Mus musculus: one gene and its partners. The protein of the gene in region 2 binds, or shares a complex with, the protein of the main gene of each other region. Links are inferred from orthologs where the notes say so. Each region holds a gene or a part of one and is shown on either strand. Other genes may lie near its edges. The genes, in order: Hpca, Nmt1, Aifm3 and Ncs1.

What was found.
Region 1: the proteins of Nmt1 (region 2) and Hpca are in contact, whole or in part, in a crystal structure (PDB 7OWM), measured with the Homo sapiens proteins. The link is inferred for Mus musculus from reciprocal best matches to the Homo sapiens genes NMT1 and HPCA. Residues at the interface, in NP_066565.1 of Homo sapiens: Tyr180, Val181, Glu182, Asp183, Asp184, Asp185, Met187, Phe188, Arg189, Phe190, Tyr192, Ile245, Asn246, Phe247, Thr282, Ala283, Gly284, Tyr296, His298, Ser300, Lys310, Phe311, Ser312, His313, Tyr401, Leu403, Ser405, Tyr420, Gly468, Ile469; in NP_002134.2 of Homo sapiens: Gly2, Lys3, Gln4, Asn5, Ser6, Lys7, Leu8, Arg9.
Region 3: the proteins of Nmt1 (region 2) and Aifm3 are in contact, whole or in part, in a crystal structure (PDB 6SJZ), measured with the Homo sapiens proteins. The link is inferred for Mus musculus from reciprocal best matches to the Homo sapiens genes NMT1 and AIFM3. Residues at the interface, in NP_066565.1 of Homo sapiens: Tyr180, Val181, Glu182, Asp183, Asp184, Asp185, Phe188, Arg189, Phe190, Asn246, Thr282, Ala283, Gly284, Tyr296, His298, Phe311, Tyr401, Ser405, Ile469, Gly470, Asp471, Asn473, Leu474, Leu495, Gln496; in NP_001373743.1 of Homo sapiens: Gly2, Cys4, Phe5, Ser6, Lys7, Pro8.
Region 4: the proteins of Nmt1 (region 2) and Ncs1 are in contact, whole or in part, in a crystal structure (PDB 5O9S), measured with the Homo sapiens proteins. The link is inferred for Mus musculus from reciprocal best matches to the Homo sapiens genes NMT1 and NCS1. Residues at the interface, in NP_066565.1 of Homo sapiens: Tyr180, Val181, Glu182, Asp183, Asp184, Asp185, Met187, Phe188, Arg189, Phe190, Tyr192, Asn246, Thr282, Ala283, Gly284, Arg295, Tyr296, His298, Ser300, Lys310, Phe311, Ser312, Tyr401, Leu403, Ser405, Tyr420, Gly468, Ile469, Gly470, Asp471; in NP_055101.2 of Homo sapiens: Gly2, Lys3, Ser4, Asn5, Ser6, Lys7, Leu8, Lys9.

Annotation. Positions count from the first base shown.
Region 1 is NC_000070.6:129,118,486-129,122,567, reverse strand, and holds the start of Hpca (neuron-specific calcium-binding protein hippocalcin), read left to right. Parts: upstream 1-1,264; 5' UTR 1,265-1,346; intron 1,347-2,367; exon of another isoform or gene 2,368-2,418; intron 2,419-3,805; 5' UTR 3,806-3,826; coding exon 3,827-4,082. UniProt on the Homo sapiens protein: Calcium-binding protein that may play a role in the regulation of voltage-dependent calcium channels. May also play a role in cyclic-nucleotide-mediated signaling through the regulation of adenylate and guanylate cyclases.
Region 2 is NC_000077.6:103,027,117-103,031,356, forward strand, and holds the start of Nmt1 (glycylpeptide N-tetradecanoyltransferase 1), read left to right. Parts: upstream 1-1,426; 5' UTR 1,427-1,455; coding exon 1,456-1,586; intron 1,587-4,240.
Region 3 is NC_000082.6:17,490,538-17,494,759, forward strand, and holds the start of Aifm3 (apoptosis-inducing factor 3), read left to right. Parts: upstream 1-1,383; 5' UTR 1,384-1,535; coding exon 1,536-1,566; intron 1,567-4,222. UniProt on the Homo sapiens protein: Induces apoptosis through a caspase dependent pathway. Reduces mitochondrial membrane potential.
Region 4 is NC_000068.7:31,244,493-31,248,762, forward strand, and holds the start of Ncs1 (neuronal calcium sensor 1), read left to right. Parts: upstream 1-1,430; 5' UTR 1,431-1,686; coding exon 1,687-1,750; intron 1,751-4,270. UniProt on the Homo sapiens protein: Neuronal calcium sensor, regulator of G protein-coupled receptor phosphorylation in a calcium dependent manner. Directly regulates GRK1 (RHOK), but not GRK2 to GRK5. Can substitute for calmodulin. Stimulates PI4KB kinase activity.

The DNA of each region.
Region 1 (4,082 bases), on a different chromosome or scaffold from region 2:
AGTGTGTCTCCTTTTTCTTGACAGGATGCTCCGGTGAGCTGCTGCACAGGAAGGAGTCAGACCCTCTATTTAAGACAACAAAGACTTCCGGTCTCACCTGAACTGCAATCTGAAGTGTTCATCGCTCTACCACTGCTCCAGTCTGTCTCCAGATTGCTTACCTAACACACTCCAGAACTGATTACGCATGCTACGTTCTTCTGCACGTGTGTTATATATATCATTGTTTCTTCTACATGATTGCAATCCCCTGTCTGAAACCATGCCAAGTGCAGAAGCAATGCCTGGAAAATCTTTTTGAAATGGATGAACGGCAGCTCCTGATTTCAAATCACTCGCTAGCTGCCAGACATTGGAAGTATACAACCCTTCTAACTCTCAGTGTCTGCAATGTAGAACACAAAAAGATCCACATCCTAGAGACGAGACGGGGGGGGGGGTGGGGGGGATGGGGGGGGGACGGAGTGGGGGGAGGACAGCATTTAGCTCAGGATGTAGCGATTGTTACCAGAGCTGGAGGAGGGAGAGTCCCTTACAGGCAGGAGGAGTTGTGACCCCATCAGCGCCTCTAAGAGCAGCTGTCCTTAGTACAGACGGGAGGCATACCCACCTGAGCACCCCCACCTCCCAAGGTGGAGATGCTTCCGTTCTCGCAGGTCACGGCCTGCACTCACAGAGGCTAGGAGAGGAGAGGAGAGGGTTCCTTGCCTGGAGGAGTACTGGGAAGAGCTAGGTAAGTGGATGGTGAGAGGTGGGATTAATTCTTAGAGGGGTTGGGGGATGACATCCGGAGTAGTAGGCAGGAGAGGGGGGCGGGCTCTCTGAGGCGGAGGTAGCAGGGGGCGTGTCTGGCCCCTGGAAGACCTTGGGACTGAGCAATGGGTGCTCCCTCCTCCCTAGAGAGCCCCCAGTTCATCTGGCTCGGGAGTTGAGGTGCGGGGGCAGCGAGGGTGCCTATCGGATTCCTCCCTCAGAGCGACAGGCGGCCCTGCGCCCAGGTAGGGGTGGATTGTTCCCGGCTTGGGAGAGCAGTCCCTGGACACTGACCCGCCTCTTTCCTTGCCCCTCCGTGTCGACTTGTAGAGCTGGGGGGTCCCGATCTTTCTCCCAGGGTGGGGTGCTCCCTAGAGAGGGGGCCGGGGCAGCGAGGGCGTTCTGTTCTCTCTCCCGGGAGGGGGCGGGGGCGGAGCCTAGCTACCAGTGGGGGACCCCCCCAGGGGAGGGGCTCCGGGCCAACGCTGCGGGGCGTCTCCCTCGCAGTCCCGCCCGCCCCTCCGGCCGCCTCTGCCGCCGCGCGCCGCAGCAGCGCCGCCTTCTCTGCGCAGTCGGTGTCTCGGCGTTGCTGGGTGAGTGGGGGCCGCTCTGGCCGGGGTCGGGGATGAGGGGAGGGAAGCCCGGGAGCCAGGAACCCAAGTCCAGGGCTCCCCAGCCCGCTCCTCCCTGAGCTTCGTGGGATTCCTCCCACCCGCGGCGCTGCAAGCCCGGGGCTGCCCCTGGGGAAATCGCGCGTCGCTCTCCAGGGTCCTGACCGCCAAGTGGCCGGCTCCTGGGAGTCGCGCGTCGACCGTCCCGGGCGCCCCCTCCAGGAGGGACCTCGAACCCAGTGCGGGAAGAATGGAGGCGGGGGATCAGGGCTGGAGCCGGAGGAGGCTTGGAGGGGATGCTAGGGCGGGTTTCTCAGATAGAGCTGTGAGGTTCCTTCTATTTTGGGCACTGGGGGTCTTTGAGGAGAAAACAGGCATTTCTTCCAGCTGGGAAAGGAAATGCTGAGGGTGGCCGAGAGGAAGGGGCACCTGGAGGAGCGCTTCTGCTCAGCGCATCACTCTGCCCCCGCCCCGCTGACCCAGTTCCTTGGACCTTGAGGAGGGGAGTAAGGGACACACTCCCTTGCTCAGCCCTGCACATTTCCTCAGTCCCTTCCCACATACTTGTTCTGTGGCTTCTCAGCCTGGGGCAGAAGAGGCTAATCCAGAAAGGAGGGGGCACCAACTTACAGGAACATGCATGACACACACTACTGAGGACAGATACAGGTCTCCTCACATTCCTGGGGAACATTTCTCTCTGTGGCAGGTGCATACCAGCTCAACACGCATATTGAATTCACATGCAGCCATGCATAGAAACGCACAGGGAGATAGATGCGGTTCAGAGCCCAGGACCCACATCATGGGTGAGCATACGCATTCAACATGCACCCACACACATGTGCACACACGTGTGCATAGAGCTTCATGTACCTTCATGCACAAGGAACCCTTTTCACCCTGTCTTGCTCGTATATCCAACCTCAGGGGACACTTGCACACACCCCTACACCTATGATTATGACTGCCTGTCTACTTCCCCTCCATTGCTTCTGCTCAGCTTCACACTTTAATTCCTGCCCTGAGGGGACCTTTTGAAACCGGAGAAAAGGTGAGTGATGAAGGAGGTCTGGGTGGGCTGGGTAGGGCTCCCCAAGAAAAAGAGTCCTCATCAGGTCTGGGAAGGGCTGCAGCTCCCTCTCCTGGGACCTGACAGCACCTCGGGGATAGAAAGACAAATGACAAGGGTGCCTGAAGGTCCCACGTGCAGCTGGCCATGTGAGAGGTGTCGGCATTCGAGTTGGCGTGTAATGGCATGTGTGAGACATGTGGGGTCGTGGGCTGGTGTGTCTTGATGCACCGTGTATGGGAGTTTGTGCGTGGTGCCATGTGTCAGTGCGTGTGAGTTGTGGGGCAGTGGGATTGCTGTGTGTGGAGGCATGGCTATCCATGTGTGGTGGAGGCAAGTATGTGAGTGTCGGAGAACCTAGGGACCTAGGCACTTGGTGATCTGTGTGGCTTTATGTGTGCTGGGGACAGGCATTTGTGGAGTCTGAATACAACATGTATGTAGCACCTGCCCACTCATGCATGATTCTAAGGGCTCACAGGTATTAACTAGCTTAATTCCCAAGATAACCCTATGAAGTAAGTACTATTATTAAACCCACTTTGTGATTGAGTTGGAGAGTTTAAGGAAATTGTCATCCCTTCTCGGCCTTTTGGCTAAGATCAAGTATAGGAAATTGTCCAAGGCACATAGCTGGTAAGAGGGGAAGCTGGATCTCCATGAGTTCGAGGCCAACCTGGTTCTATAGCGTGAATTCCAGGACAGCCAGGACTACAGAGAGAAACCCTGTCTTGAAAAACAAAAACAAACAACAACGTATTTTAAAAAAAGAAGGAGCGCCGGGATCCCAGCCCAGGTGATCTGGCTCTAGGGTCCAGGTTAATACTTCTTGCTAAGCATATCTTCAGGAAGAAAATCGGACAGTGTTGGGGCAGTAGGTGCACTGTGGGGTCAACAGACATCTGGGAAGCCATGAAGGGGGCAGCAGGTGAAAAGGGGGACTCGGGAACTTTTCTGCACCCTCCTAGGACACTCCGGGAATCAGCATTGCCGGTAGTGTCCGTGTGACTGAAGCAGATCATTTTGATTTTCTGAGCCTCCCTTCTCATGTAGAAAATGGAGCTAACCCTCAGATTTCCCTCTGGGAGGGTGAAAACGTGTGCTTGTGAATGGGCTTGACACGGAGAGCCAGAAGGGTGCCAGTGAGTGTGAGCTGGTCCCTTCCTTCTTTGGGTCTGTTCTCCAGACATGCATGTCACAGAGCAGAGTGCAGGCTGTGTGATCTGGGGCCCATCTCTCTCTTTTCTTGGGTCAAATGAGACTTTGGGCTATCTTGTGTCTGAGGGCCCTTCTGGAGACGTGTCAAGGGACTAAGAGGATGTAACCATTGCTCTCTGTCCTTTCACTTCCTTTGGGGGCGGGGACCCAGGTGGGACTTGGCTCTTCTGCCATGGGCAAGCAGAACAGCAAGCTGCGGCCAGAGATGCTGCAGGACCTGCGAGAGAACACGGAGTTCTCTGAGCTGGAGCTACAGGAGTGGTACAAGGGCTTCCTGAAGGACTGCCCCACTGGCATCCTCAACGTGGATGAGTTCAAGAAGATCTACGCCAACTTCTTCCCCTATGGCGACGCCTCCAAGTTTGCCGAGCACGTCTTCCGCACCTTTGACACCAACAGCGACGGCACCATCGACTTCCGGGAGTTCA
Region 2 (4,240 bases):
AGCATACTCAGCACAAATAGGAAGGCTCTAAGCCCTTGTCTTTGGGCAATCTTCTCAGGATTATGATTAGACTAGCTAGTTACAGGACAAAGCCCAGAGGGACAGAAGCATTTAGGCAATTCTAAGATAGATGCTGCATTTACCTGGCTATAACTGATTCGTCCTTGGAAGTTGCCTGGATCCAACAGTGTGACTGGTGTGACGGTGAAGCCTTACAGAGGGCACAGAGTAGGTAGATACAGATTTATAGACAGATTTTGCCGCCTACAAACAATGTACCAACTTTTCTGGAACAGTCTTTTCATCTGTGAAAAAGGAATAATAATGGCATAACACATTCTAAGCTTGTTAAAATTATAGGAATTCAGGTACAAAAAGTCTTACGCCAGAGCCTGGCGTGTAAGTGCTCATTAAAGTCTTGTGTTGGGAGTAGGGGAGCTCGTGAGGCCTCAACCCCAGACTAAGAACTACAGGCAATTAAGGAAGGCTAAAAATGGGGGAGGAAATAGTTCTTCCCAGGCACACCAGCCCTGAAATCATTTGCATACAACATTATGCTTACTGAACGGGCTATATTTATATATTTAGGAAAACACACACACACCCATATGTAACAACAACTAAAGAAAAAGAGGCCATGAATTTGAGAGCAAGGTGGGGTGTATATGGGAGGGGTTAGAGGAAGGAAAGGGGAAGTGGGGAAATGGTGTAATTATCATAATCTTAAAAAAAAAGACTTGTTATGGAAGGCTCTAGAGGAGAATCAAAGGGAAATGTGAAGAAGAGCGCAGTGCAAAATTAGAAGCCAAGAAATGGTAAGCCTCCCCTGCAAGCAATCAAGTCTTTGGCTCGGGGGCAGTGTTCCACACACCTCAATGCACTGCCTCTCGGTTTTAGATTTCCAAAGACCCAGGTCTCCCTAAAGGCTGGAGTAGGGAAGGCAGCCGAGAGCAAACCTATAGGAAAGTCCTCTGTAAGGGCATTTGAGCTCCTGGAGAATCGCAGCCATGAACCTCAGTGTCTTTCACTTACCCAGGAATGGTAACGGTCCTTAACGTTAGCCGATAACGGCTCATCTGTGGCCTGTTGATTACCAAGGGCGGCCTGAAAACCTTGGACTTTGCAAGCCCTTTACTTGCGAAACTCTAATTCAACATGGAACTGCAACTCCCAGCGTGCCCCGCGACCACCCTATAAGGCGTACAGCGCCCTTCGTCTCAGAGGGCGGCCGAACCTAGGGGCTTCCGGAATTGCTGCCCGCTCCTCCCAAGGCAGCGTCCCTTCATGATTTCTGGGTTTTGTAGTCCACATCGGTACAGTTTTTTGAAAACAAGCCACCCTTAGTGGCAGATTTCTTCACACAAACTACAAAACCCAGAATACAGCGCGTACTTCCTCTGTCCAATAGGAGCCCTCCATGTAGCGGGGCGCGGAGTCCGGCTCTCGCAACCCAAGATGGCGGATGAGAGTGAGACAGCAGTGAAGCTGCCGGCACCTTCGTTGCCACTGATGATGGAAGGGAATGGAAACGGCCATGAGCACTGCAGCGATTGCGAGAACGAGGAGGACAACAGCCACAACAGGAGGTAACGAGATCATCGTAGCCCAATTCCTGTCCGGTCTCCCACAAGCTGGGTATCTGGGGTGCGGGGAAGTCACCGGGAGCTTAGTCTAACCCCACCCCCATGTTCTTATTGGCTAAGCCATTGAGATCCTACCTAGCGATTGGTTTTTGTCTTTGTCACTTACCAGGATGGGTGCTCAGATATTAAGGGTCGGAGACATGCAATACTTTTATTATATAAAAGTTCTGTTTAGTGTACCACTCCCTTGCTTTAGGCACGATGGGGGAAAAGAACATTTTGAACGGTAGATTTCAGTAGTACAATGCAGAGCAATCTAGAAGCTGCGGTTCAGAAGGAACGTTACTTATAAAGGTGTATGAGAAACGTGACTAGCCATAAACTAATAATAAAACATTTCGTTGTAGTTCACGCTCAATGAGGAAATTCACTAGGCTATACAAGCCATGCATATAATTATGTTGTAAAATATAACTGCCAGACAAGTCCGAAATATAAACTCACTATGATCCTATGTTATTAGTGATGTGATGTTTTGATTTATTCAGTGTCTGTTGCCTCAAATAATCGGTGAAGAGTCAATTTCATTGTACCTTCACTTTGTTAATTTAGTGAAGGGCCTCAAAGCTTCAATAAACTGATGTTGCTTCTTGGAGAACATGTGGTATTTGTGGGGTACTACTGCACGTCTTGTACTTTAGGGTCTCCCTGGGGTTTTTTGTTCGTTATGTTTTGCCTTTTTAGACAGGTTCTACTGTGTAGCTATGGCTGGCCTGGGGCATACAATGTAGAACAGATTGACTCCAAACTTGGGGTGATGTTCTTGTCTCTCGGGTATGGGGATTAGTACTGTTACAGGTCACTGTGTAGGTCAGGGTCTTACTATAAGTAATTTCAGTCTTTTGTTAGTAGAGAAGAAGAAATGGGCCAGATATTTGAGAATTTGTATTTGTCTTTGTTTTTCCAATCAGTACATCAGTAAGCCAGTCACGAAAAATGATGTATTTAAGTTCATATTATTTTCCTGCTGCTCTAACGCCCCCACCCAATATGTATGTATGTATGTATGTATGTATACATATGTATATTTTTGTGTAGAGACTTGTGGGTGTGTGATTGAGTGGTTGTTTGTTGTTGTTGTTGTTTTTTGTTTTTGTTTTGTTTTGTTTTGTTTTTTGAGACAGGGTTTCTCTGTGTAGCCCTGGCTGTCTTGTAGACCAGGCTGGCTTCGAACTCAGAGATCCACCTGACTCTGCCTCCCAAGTGCTGAGATTAAAGGCGTGTGCCACCACTGCCTGGTGGTAGTTTGGTTTTTATAGCCAGATTTTGTTATAGCCAACTTGCCATTAGCTGTAGCCGGCAGCTCTTAGCTTCCCCCTAGCCCCAGTTAAAGTTGAGATGAAGATAGAAGTTTGTAACCTTTGGCTACACTCTATTTATTCCTCTGTCTTAAAGATGGCTGAGCAAAGGATTAAATGATCAGTAATCTGACTGTGGTGAGTTTTAGGCTTAAAAAAAAAAATCCAGCCTCTTGTTCTCTCACCAGCATGGGGGGGAACAAAAATCACAAGAATGTGGCAGAGAAGAAAGCTTGCCAGCCTTGATTTCACGACTGTTCTGTGGTTGTAATTCACAGCAGATCCAGTGTAACAGCCTCCTTTAAGACAGCTATTCCCAAGAATGGAAGAGCTGAGAAGGAGGAAGTAGGCACTGGAGGAACACAGGACAGGCCTCTTGAGGGAGAAATCTTTCAGATGAGAGGGCTGAGTGTGAAAGTCCCTTCAGAAGTGGAAGTCCAACTTTTTCTTTGTTCATTCTATAATTGCTCTAATTTTCTCTGTGAAAATGTTGCCCCAACCGATGTCAGTATTTTTATTTTATTTTTTTTTAATAGGTTTGTATGCTGAAAAAAACCACAGTTTACAAAACTTTGCCAAGACTTGAGATCTAGTTTGGCCATAGAGCACGTTCTCACCATATTGCAGGCCCTGGTGTTCAGTCACAAGCATGAAAACCAAGAAAATCCTGTTTGCCAGGAAGTTCTTTGTTTTAGTTGTGGTGCCACAGAGTGATAGCTCCCTTTTCCCAAAATCTTTAGGGGTGACCTCCCCCCACCCCGGGGGGGGGTGTTTTATTACAGGATATGGTTTGAGTAAGCAAATTATATTAGTATGCCAAATCGAGGGGTCCGTGAAAATGAAGTAGTTTGCAGGTGGCACGTGACAAATGAAGGACCTAGTCAGGAGCTCCTTCTGATGCATAGAACCAGCATTTTCCGTTAACTATCAAAGCAGAGTAAGTGTTTTTGGAAGGAGACAGCATCACCCTTGGGAAAGTATGAACTTTGGAGTCATTGATACCTACTTTGAGCAGGGTGTGGTGGTGCAATACACCACCACCACCACCCACTCCCCCCAACCCCACCCCACGGTTTCTCTGTGTTACCCAGGCTGCCCTGGAACTTACTCTGTAGATCAGGCTGGCCTCACCAAGATCCACCTGCGGCTGCCTCTCAGGTGCTGGAATTATAGGTGTGTTCTACCTATAATTGCACCAGTTGGTACAATCCGTTGATCCCAGTGCTCCAGAGGCAAAGACAAGTGGATTTCTGAGAGTTCAGGACTAGCCTGGTCTATGTAGCAGACCAGCCAGGACTA
Region 3 (4,222 bases), on a different chromosome or scaffold from region 2:
GACCGGAAAGAGGTGGGCAACGCTGAGACATGGGTGAAACCAGGACCTCTGAAAGGGTTCTCTGGTTCCCAGGAAGGGAGCTAGAGGGGCAGTTAGCAACTGAGTTTTATCCCTTGAGTTGTCTCCTCTTGCCCCGACAAGGGCCTTGGGTTCCTCACCTGTAATTTGCTTCGAAGGTCAGAAGCTAGCAGTGGCTGGTCCTTTCCCATTCTGTATTTCCTTCTTGACATGGGGACTGGGCTAACCTAGTGACTCCCAGCACGGTTCAGTGCAGGCTTCAGGAAGAATTTCCAGGTGACCCAGAGCCGACTGTTGGGTAGAATTTGGACAGATCAGTTGTAAACAGGGTAGTTACACCTTTGTCTTGAGCCTTCCAAAGTCCACATCTTCTAGAAGGCCCACCTATGGCCACAAGGACACAATGGCCACAGTGATCTGTTTACCAGGTAGTCTTGCTCTCCCGTTTGGAGCCTTAGAGTGACCTGAGCACGTCCCAAGGCCTTGCTTATCTTAGGATTTATTAGGGTGAGGAGTGGGGAAGACCACACAGATGCCCCTAACTGCTGCTTGACCTTGGTGAGACCTTGGACCCCAGTCTTTCTATCTTCTTCAGCACTGCACAGCCGCCTGAGGGGTGGGGAAACTTATGGCTGCTGGGCTGCTGGGCATGGGGCAGAGGCAGAGCTGTGCGCTTGGTTTCCCTCTTCCCCCAACCCCATCAGTCCTGGGCTGGCTGCCCGCTTTTTTCCCCACAGAGCTGGGTTTCCCTGGGGACCAGTGGCTTGGCCTAGCCCCACACCCACAGCCCCCTCCTGGCCACAACTCATGCTAGAAGGCGGGCTGGACCCTCCAGGACACTGGCCTTCCGTGCCCTGCTGACCAAGGCCCAGTAGTCTCTCTCCATTGCTGGGCTGGGAGCAAGGAGCAGTGACTCCCATGGAAAGAGGTAGGTGACTAGAGGTTGCTAGTCAGGGCAGTGGCCAAGGCTGGGCTGGGACCCTTGTCACTCTCAGTGGAAGAAGAAGGATTCTGGGGACTCTGGTTGTCAGGGTTTTCTGTAGACGTGGTGGTCTTATCTAGGGAAATGGAGAGTCTCAGAGTCTCCAGACTTGTGGGATTTAGAAAAGGGGAATCTAGGGCTAGGTCTATGTAGTCGCAGGTTTATGGGCAGTAGCAGATATTAGAGCACAGAGGGTCTCCAACAAAGGATGCAGTAAGGGGAATCTGAGGTTCCTATGCCTAGAAGCCTCAAAGGGAGACAGATGCCCTACAAACAAGATCTGCCCTCCTCATGTAAGACTCTTCCAGGATTCCTCAAAGATGCCTCTGACTCTACCCAGACCTGCATCAGTGCTAGGACCCAATTTCCCATCTCCCCTGCAGGTCCTAAAGCTGTCTAGCTGGCATGGCAGCTCTAGCGTCTCTGAGGGCCACAGGGGGTCCAGTCCTGCAGGGCACATCCTAGACCTTGGACAGCTGGACAGCCTGCCATCGTGCTCCCACCAGCCAGGCCAGATCCCAGGCCACCGTTCACCATGGGCGGCTGCTTCTCCAAGCCCAAGCCAGGTACCTCCCCTTCTCTGACAGCCTCCCCCTCCCTCTGTACTTCACCAACCTCCAAAGTAGGTCAGGCTAGGCAGGAGCCCAGAATGCTAATGCACTGCAGGCAAGAAGGGTAAAAACCTAGGAAAGCTCTCCTGGACTCCTCTCCTGTAGCATCCCCCTTTTTATTTGGGACTTTGGGTGTTAGTGGTGGGGACAACAGCTGATCCTTCTTAGAAAGTTGAGTCTAGAAGGTTCCTCTTATGCTGCGCAGAGCTAAGGGCTACTTCTCCATTCTGGAGAAGAGAGGCTTTGGGGGATGTTCTTAGCCACAGTGTAACCTCTTTGAGTCTCAATTTCCCTCTCTATAAAATAGAACTGGACACTGCCCTCTTAGGGTGACTGACAGGGTATCATGGACAGGTCCCTACTCTTATCATCCTGTGACATATCAGACATCATCTTGGCTTCTCTGGGCCTCATCTCCTGTTTTGTGTTTTTGTTTGGGTTTTTGTCTTTTGAGACAAGATCTCACTATGTAGACCAGGCTGGTCTCATACTCACACAGATCCTCCTGCCTGTGCCTTGCAAGTGCTAGGATCAAAGGCATGTACCACTCTTCTGTTTTCTCCATGTATATAGGAAATCTTGCCTAGCCCTAGAAACTCCAGCCAGGGGTAGGATCATTCCAAGGTACTACAGTACTTAGGATCTACCCTGCCAGGGGACTCATGTCTTTGGGTTTCTCCCTCAGTCTGCACATTCCTTCTACCCTAGTCGTAACATCCAGAAAGCAGAACCTGTAGCCATGACAGGGATGCAGAAACTGAGGACTTCAGAGCCCAGTGAGTGCTCCACCCACCCAACTTGCCCTGGCTGGCTCACTCTGCCAGCTTGCTCAGCTCTCCTTACCTGATACCCATCAGCTCGGTTACCTTGGGACTCATAAGACTTTTCTTCCTTTCTTGGGTCTGAGGTAGGACTTGGGGGAGAAAGCGGAGCTGTGACCCACCCACTGGCAGTATTGGTGAAGATTGTCCATCCTCGCCTGAGTCTGTGCCAGATCCTACAGCCTCTGCCATAGGTGCCCACTGTCTTTGTCTCAGTTTCTTCATAGAGTGGGCAGGAATGTGCCTGCAAGATCCCATGGGAGTCCCATACTGGGCACCTGAGGGACTGCTTGGCTGGCAGGACATGGTGGGGACAAGATGCCACTCAGTCTCAATGAGCTGGCCTAATCAGGGACCCCTGACTCAGCACTTCAGATCTGGAGCTAGCCATTATCCCCTGACCTGAATCTTGTCAGTTTGCTTTTGTAATTTTTTTTTTTAAGATAAGATTTCATCTAGCCCAGGCTGGCCCCAGACTCACTATGGGGTTGAAAATGATCTTAACTTAGCAGCCTCCTATCCCCCTCACTGGTGCTAGAACTGCAGGAGTGTACAATTATGATCACTTTTACTTAGTACTGGAGATAGAACCCAAAGCTTTGGGAATGCCAGGCAAACATTCTTCCAGTTATGATGTTTGGTTTTTTTAAAAAAATTTTTAAAGACTTATTTATTTTATGTATTTTATGTATGTGAGTACATTTTGCTCTCCTCAGAAGAGGGCATCAGATCCCATTACAGATAGTTGTGAGCACCACGAGGTTGCTGGGATTTGAACTCAGGACCTCTGGAAGAGCAGTCAGTGCTCTTAACCACTGAGGTATCTCTCCAGCCCTGTTTTTTAAATTTTTATTTTTATCATTTAAATTTTGTGTGTGTGTGCGTGTGTGTGCTCGCGTGTGTGTGTGTGTGCGTGCATGCGTGTGTGTGTGTGTGTGTGTGTGTGTGTGTGTGTGCGTGCGTGCGTGTGTGGGTGCGTGTGTGTGTGTGTGCGTGTGTGTGTGTGTGTGTGTGTGTGTATGTGTGCGTGTTTGAGTGTGTGAGTGAATGGAGGTGCATGCAGAGGTCAGGAGAAACAGGTGCCCTTGGACTAGGGTAATGGCTGTTCTGAGCCACCTGGCTGCTGGAACTCAAACTCAGCTTCTCTAGAAGAACAGTATGTGCTCCAGCACTGGTTCTGTTTTGTTTTTTGTTTGTTTATTTTTATTTTATAAAATGAGCATTTTTGTCTTCGTGTATATAAATGCATAGCATGTGTGCAATGCCTGTAGAGGCCAGAAGAATTCATCTGACCTCCTGAGCCTGGAGTTACACATGGTTAATTGTGAGCCATGGTGTGGGTGCTGGGAATCAAGCTGGGTTCTCTGCAAAAGCAACAAATACCCTTGACCTCTGAGCTGTCCTCACCCCTTCCTTTCCTTTCATTAAAAGACAGAGTTTACTATGTAGCCCTGAATGACCTAGAATTCACTACTTAGACCAGGCTGGTCTTGATTGTACTGTGAGCCTCCCATGTGCTGGGATTACAGACCTGAGCTAGCATACCCATTTTATGTTTTAAAAACTTTGTGTTTTAAGGGATGATAAGTTTATTTTGGCTTACAATTTGAGGGTCACATTCTGTCATGGTGAAGGCCTGGCTGCAGACGGCTTTGTGGCAGAGAGAACATTCAACAGCTCTCTTTCTCTTTCTCCAGGAACTTACTGTTCTGCTCTGGGCTGGTCTCAAAGTGTCTGGCTATTCTTACTGCCCAGAGACAACATTCAAACTTGGGTTCTTTAACGTCTTG
Region 4 (4,270 bases), on a different chromosome or scaffold from region 2:
AACAAGCTGGGACCTGGGTCTGGCCTGGGCTCATGTAAGGGAAGGAACCGAGACCATCTGAAGGCTGGAGACATGCAAGAGGTGGGGTTGAAAGGTACCATCGCCCCAGGCAGGGTTTTACACCCTCTGAGAGGGAAAAAAAGAAATTCTGTCCGTGATTGCATCCCTGCTGGCTCAGGAGGGAATGGCTTCATCTTGCCATGGTCTTTCCAGGGCTCTGGTTCCTGGCATGGGTCATTCCTCCCCTACCCGATCTATTTTCATGCCTTTCCCTGAGAACTCTTCCTCCTAATGTTGTCTAAGCCAGTTGTGAACCAGGGATCCTACTGCCTCCCCACCCACTTCCCTGTTTAGCTGGGCTGGCTCCCTGGCCTCTGCTACTAAGACTGGCTCACAGAAGTTGCCACTGGCCCTCAGGGCCTTCTGAGAGCAAGACATATTTCTGCTCCCCTCCCCCTGAGGCTCATTCTTTGGAAGAAGCAAGCGCCAATGGACTAAGAGGTCCAAGTTTTCCTGAGCTGTTAAGGAGACAGAGTTGGGCAGAAAGTCAGGAGAGGTCTCAATTACGATGACATTTTGGGAGGAGGGGAGAGCAGGCCATCCTTTTCCTGGAGTCCTTCCCCAGCTGCAGGCTTCCAGGCATGGAGCCCCACCAACAGGCTCTGCTCCCTCTGGCCACTTCAAGCAAGCCCCACAACAGAGAAGGTTTGAACTGCAAGTACTCCTGGGCACCGGGGACAGAGGCCAGGTCTTTGGGGAAAGCGGCTTGCCAGGCTGGTCTCCAGAAGCTCTGGCCCTTCTGCCTGGCCTCAGATCATTCCCAGCCTTGCCTGGAGCCCCGGGTGTAGAGGCTGCTCTCCCTCCCAGGCCAGACCCCTTCCAGGTTGATACCCCATTCCTCTCTCAATCTGAAGTCACTTCCCTCAAGGCCAGGCAAAAGTGTTCCCACCGAAACCCATGCCAGCCAGCACATCAGGATGCTCCTGGAGAGGTCTGGGATCGCGTCTGTCCTCTTGGCCGCCAGGTCCCCAGCGCCCAACACATCTAAGTGGAATGAATGAATTGCGCCGGGCAGGGATTTGGCCTCGTTCACGTCCGATTTTCCGGGCCCTCCCTGCCCACGCCGCTGCGGAGAGGGGGGAATGGATCGGCGGAGGGGGCGGTGCGGCGACCTCCCAGCGTCCCCGGAGAGCCAACAGGAGAGGGGGTGCCTCAACGCGGAGCTCGCGCCTGTCGGAGCTGGGCGGGAGGTGGCGCCGGGCGATGAGTGGCGGCTCCGAGTCCACCCCTGGCGCGCCGGTGCGGGCGGGAGGCGGGGAGCGTAGGGGCGGCGGCGGCGCAGCAGTAGCGAGCATGTGCTACGCAGCCCAGTAACCAGGGACGACCGCGGCAACCGAGCCCCGGCGGCTGCGGCTCTCAGCCCCGCGCAACTCCTCGCCGTGGCCGCTTGCACCGCCAAGGCCTGGCCCTCGCCGGGTCCCCGAGGCCCCTTGAACCGTCAGCCGCGGTCGCGCAGCACGCCGGAGCCCCGCGCACGGGACGCGCGGGCACGGCCAGACAAAGGCGCGGCCCCGGCCCGGCCCAGCCCGGCCTGCCGGCCTCCGCGCACCCCGGCCCGACCCAACCGCTCCCGCTGGGCGCCCCGAGCGGGTCCGGCCCGGGGAGCGGGGGCCGCGGCCGCCGAGCATGGGGAAATCCAACAGCAAGTTGAAGCCTGAAGTTGTGGAGGAGCTGACCAGAAAAACCTACTGTGAGTGAGCCCCGATCCCAGATCCCCGATTCCCCATCGAGCCGCGACCTTCCCTCCGCCCTTCCCGGCCGCGCCCCTGCCCCGCACCTGGCCCATTGTTCTATCCGCGCCCCCGCCCCCGGCCATGGCTGGGTGTCGCCTGTCAGCGTGCTCCAGGGACCACTCTGGGTCCTCAGGGCATCCGCAGCCCACCCGCTGCTCCCCTCCTGTCCGAAGGACCCGGGCTGTGCCGGGGCGGGGGGCAGTGGTCCCAGGAGGGGGCGCCCGGGCGTTGTGTGGCTCTCCTGCTTGGAGCAGGGTGGGTGGGTGATTCATGCTTAATGATGCTGCTGCGGCTCCTGCCTCTTGCGAGGTTGGCCTGTCGCCCCCTCCCTGGCAAGTGTGACTGTGTTGGGAGGAAGAGGGCTGGCGAGACTGGTAGAACGCTCAGGTAGTGACGGTAGAGGGCCAAGGGTCCTGGGCGCCCTCTTAGATGTCGCACGGTTGGGCTGTATTCTCCATCCCCCCTTCCCTTCTCCTGTCTCTACCGCACCAGGAAATGGGTTTACATGGCCCGAGCTGACGAGCGAAGGAAGGTCTGTCCCACTCCACGGTCCACTAGATCAGTCCCAGGCGTGGCTCTCCACTTGCCCAACTTCACAGATCTGCCTCTGCATCTTTAGTGCCTCCACACCAGGTGTCCCCCCTCCTCGCAGCCTCTCCAGGGGTGGCCCTGGAAGTGGGTCCTGGGAAGCTTTGGCTGAGCGCTCTGCATCACCCGGAAAGACAGGCAGTTAACTGACAGCTCGGTGTAGATGGAGGCTCTGGTGCAGTGCATGGTCTCTGCTCTCACCCCCACCCCCACCCCCGGTATCGGTCTTCTGAGCACGTTTGCAGGTCTTGGTCAACCTAGTGCCTTAGCCCCATGCTCCTCACTCTCCCAGACTTAGAACAAAGGGGGCTTTACTGCCTGGGCTCTCCTGGCCCCTGTCCTGAGGAGTTGGACACCTTGGAGGTCACATCCAGGAGAACTATCCTTCCCAGCCCAGGCTGCCTACTCTCTCTTTCCAGATTGGGTGGGTAGCTTTTTCTAGCTTGTTGCTGTTTGTGAGGTTAACTGGACCCTCGAAGGTGTGGCTCACAGCCATTAGCAGGTAGGCTATTGGTGGGACACCCTCCCTCCCTGAACGGGCCAGGACCCCAGGGTGTGGGGAGGGTAGAGGGCTCCATGGACTTCTCCAGGAACCATGGCATGTGGTGTACCATGCTGTCTCCATGATGGTGAGGCTGGGGGCCACCAATGAGCCCTGTGAAGTCAGGGTCCTGCTTACTGAGTGTGTCATGCACCATCGGCTGTGTCCTTAGCACAGCTGTACATCAACAGCTTGTCCTGTTCTGGGCACTCCAGCTGCTCATAGAGAGGAAGGCAAGGCTGGGAGATGTGAGCTGGCATCCCTGGCTTATGCCAAGAGCCCTCTGTGCCTCTCTTTCCTACCCTGGCCCAGTGCTGGATTTGAAAGACCTTTCGTTCAGCCCCATCTCTGAAGGGCTGGCCATTAACTTGGGAAGAATGGGGCCAGCAGAACTCTTGTCAGGCACTGGCCTGGTGAAGTTCCGCTGAGCTATTTTTAAAGGGCTTTTGTGATGTGGAGCAGTTTTGTTCAGGGATTGAGGCAGTCTGGGCACTTCCCCCTCATCCAAGGCCTCACTTAGGGCTGGGGGACTCACTTGCTTCTCTCTTATCTCCCTGTGAACACCAGCTCCCTCCAGGCAAGTCTATGTGGTTGGTCCACAGCTGCGCTCTCTCTCTCTCTTTCTCTCTCTCTCTCCCCTCTCTTCCAGGGAAATACTGAGTAGGGAGTTAAGGGACGCATCATCCAGGAAGGATTCCCAAATGTCACCATCTCCTATCCCTGCTGCTTGGCTTGCTCTTCTCTTAGGTCTGGGCTGAGCTCTGGAGTTGAGTTCTTGACAGTGTGAATTATGAGGCCGGAGAGATGCTTTGTGCAAGCATGAGGACCCGAGTCAGGTCCCCAGCACACACCTATGTAAGCTGGATACTGTGGTTCATGCTTATAACTCCAGCACGGGGAAGGCAGACATAGAGGGATTCTGGGAGCTCACTGGCCAGCCAGTCCAGTGAAATGGCCAGCTCTGGGTTCATTGAGAGACACCAGCCCAAAGAATAAGGCGGAGGAGCTGGAGAGATGGCTTAGCGGTTAGGAATGAGCACTGCTCTTCCTTAAAGACCAGAGTTCAATTGCCAGCCCCCACATGTGTGGCTCACAACTGCCTGTAACTCCAGCTCAATGTGAGCCACAGTCTCTGGTCTCTATGGGTTCTGTATTCACACACACAACTGCTCCAAGCTCCTTGCACATAATTAAAAATAAAACAAACCTTTAAAAGCAAAGGAAGGTGGAAAGCTGTAACATCCAGCATTGACCTCTGGCCTTCAGCTGCAATCGAAAGGGTAGAATACATCTACACACAAACCAACACACAGAACAAGAGTGAGAGTCATATATTGATTTTGGTTCT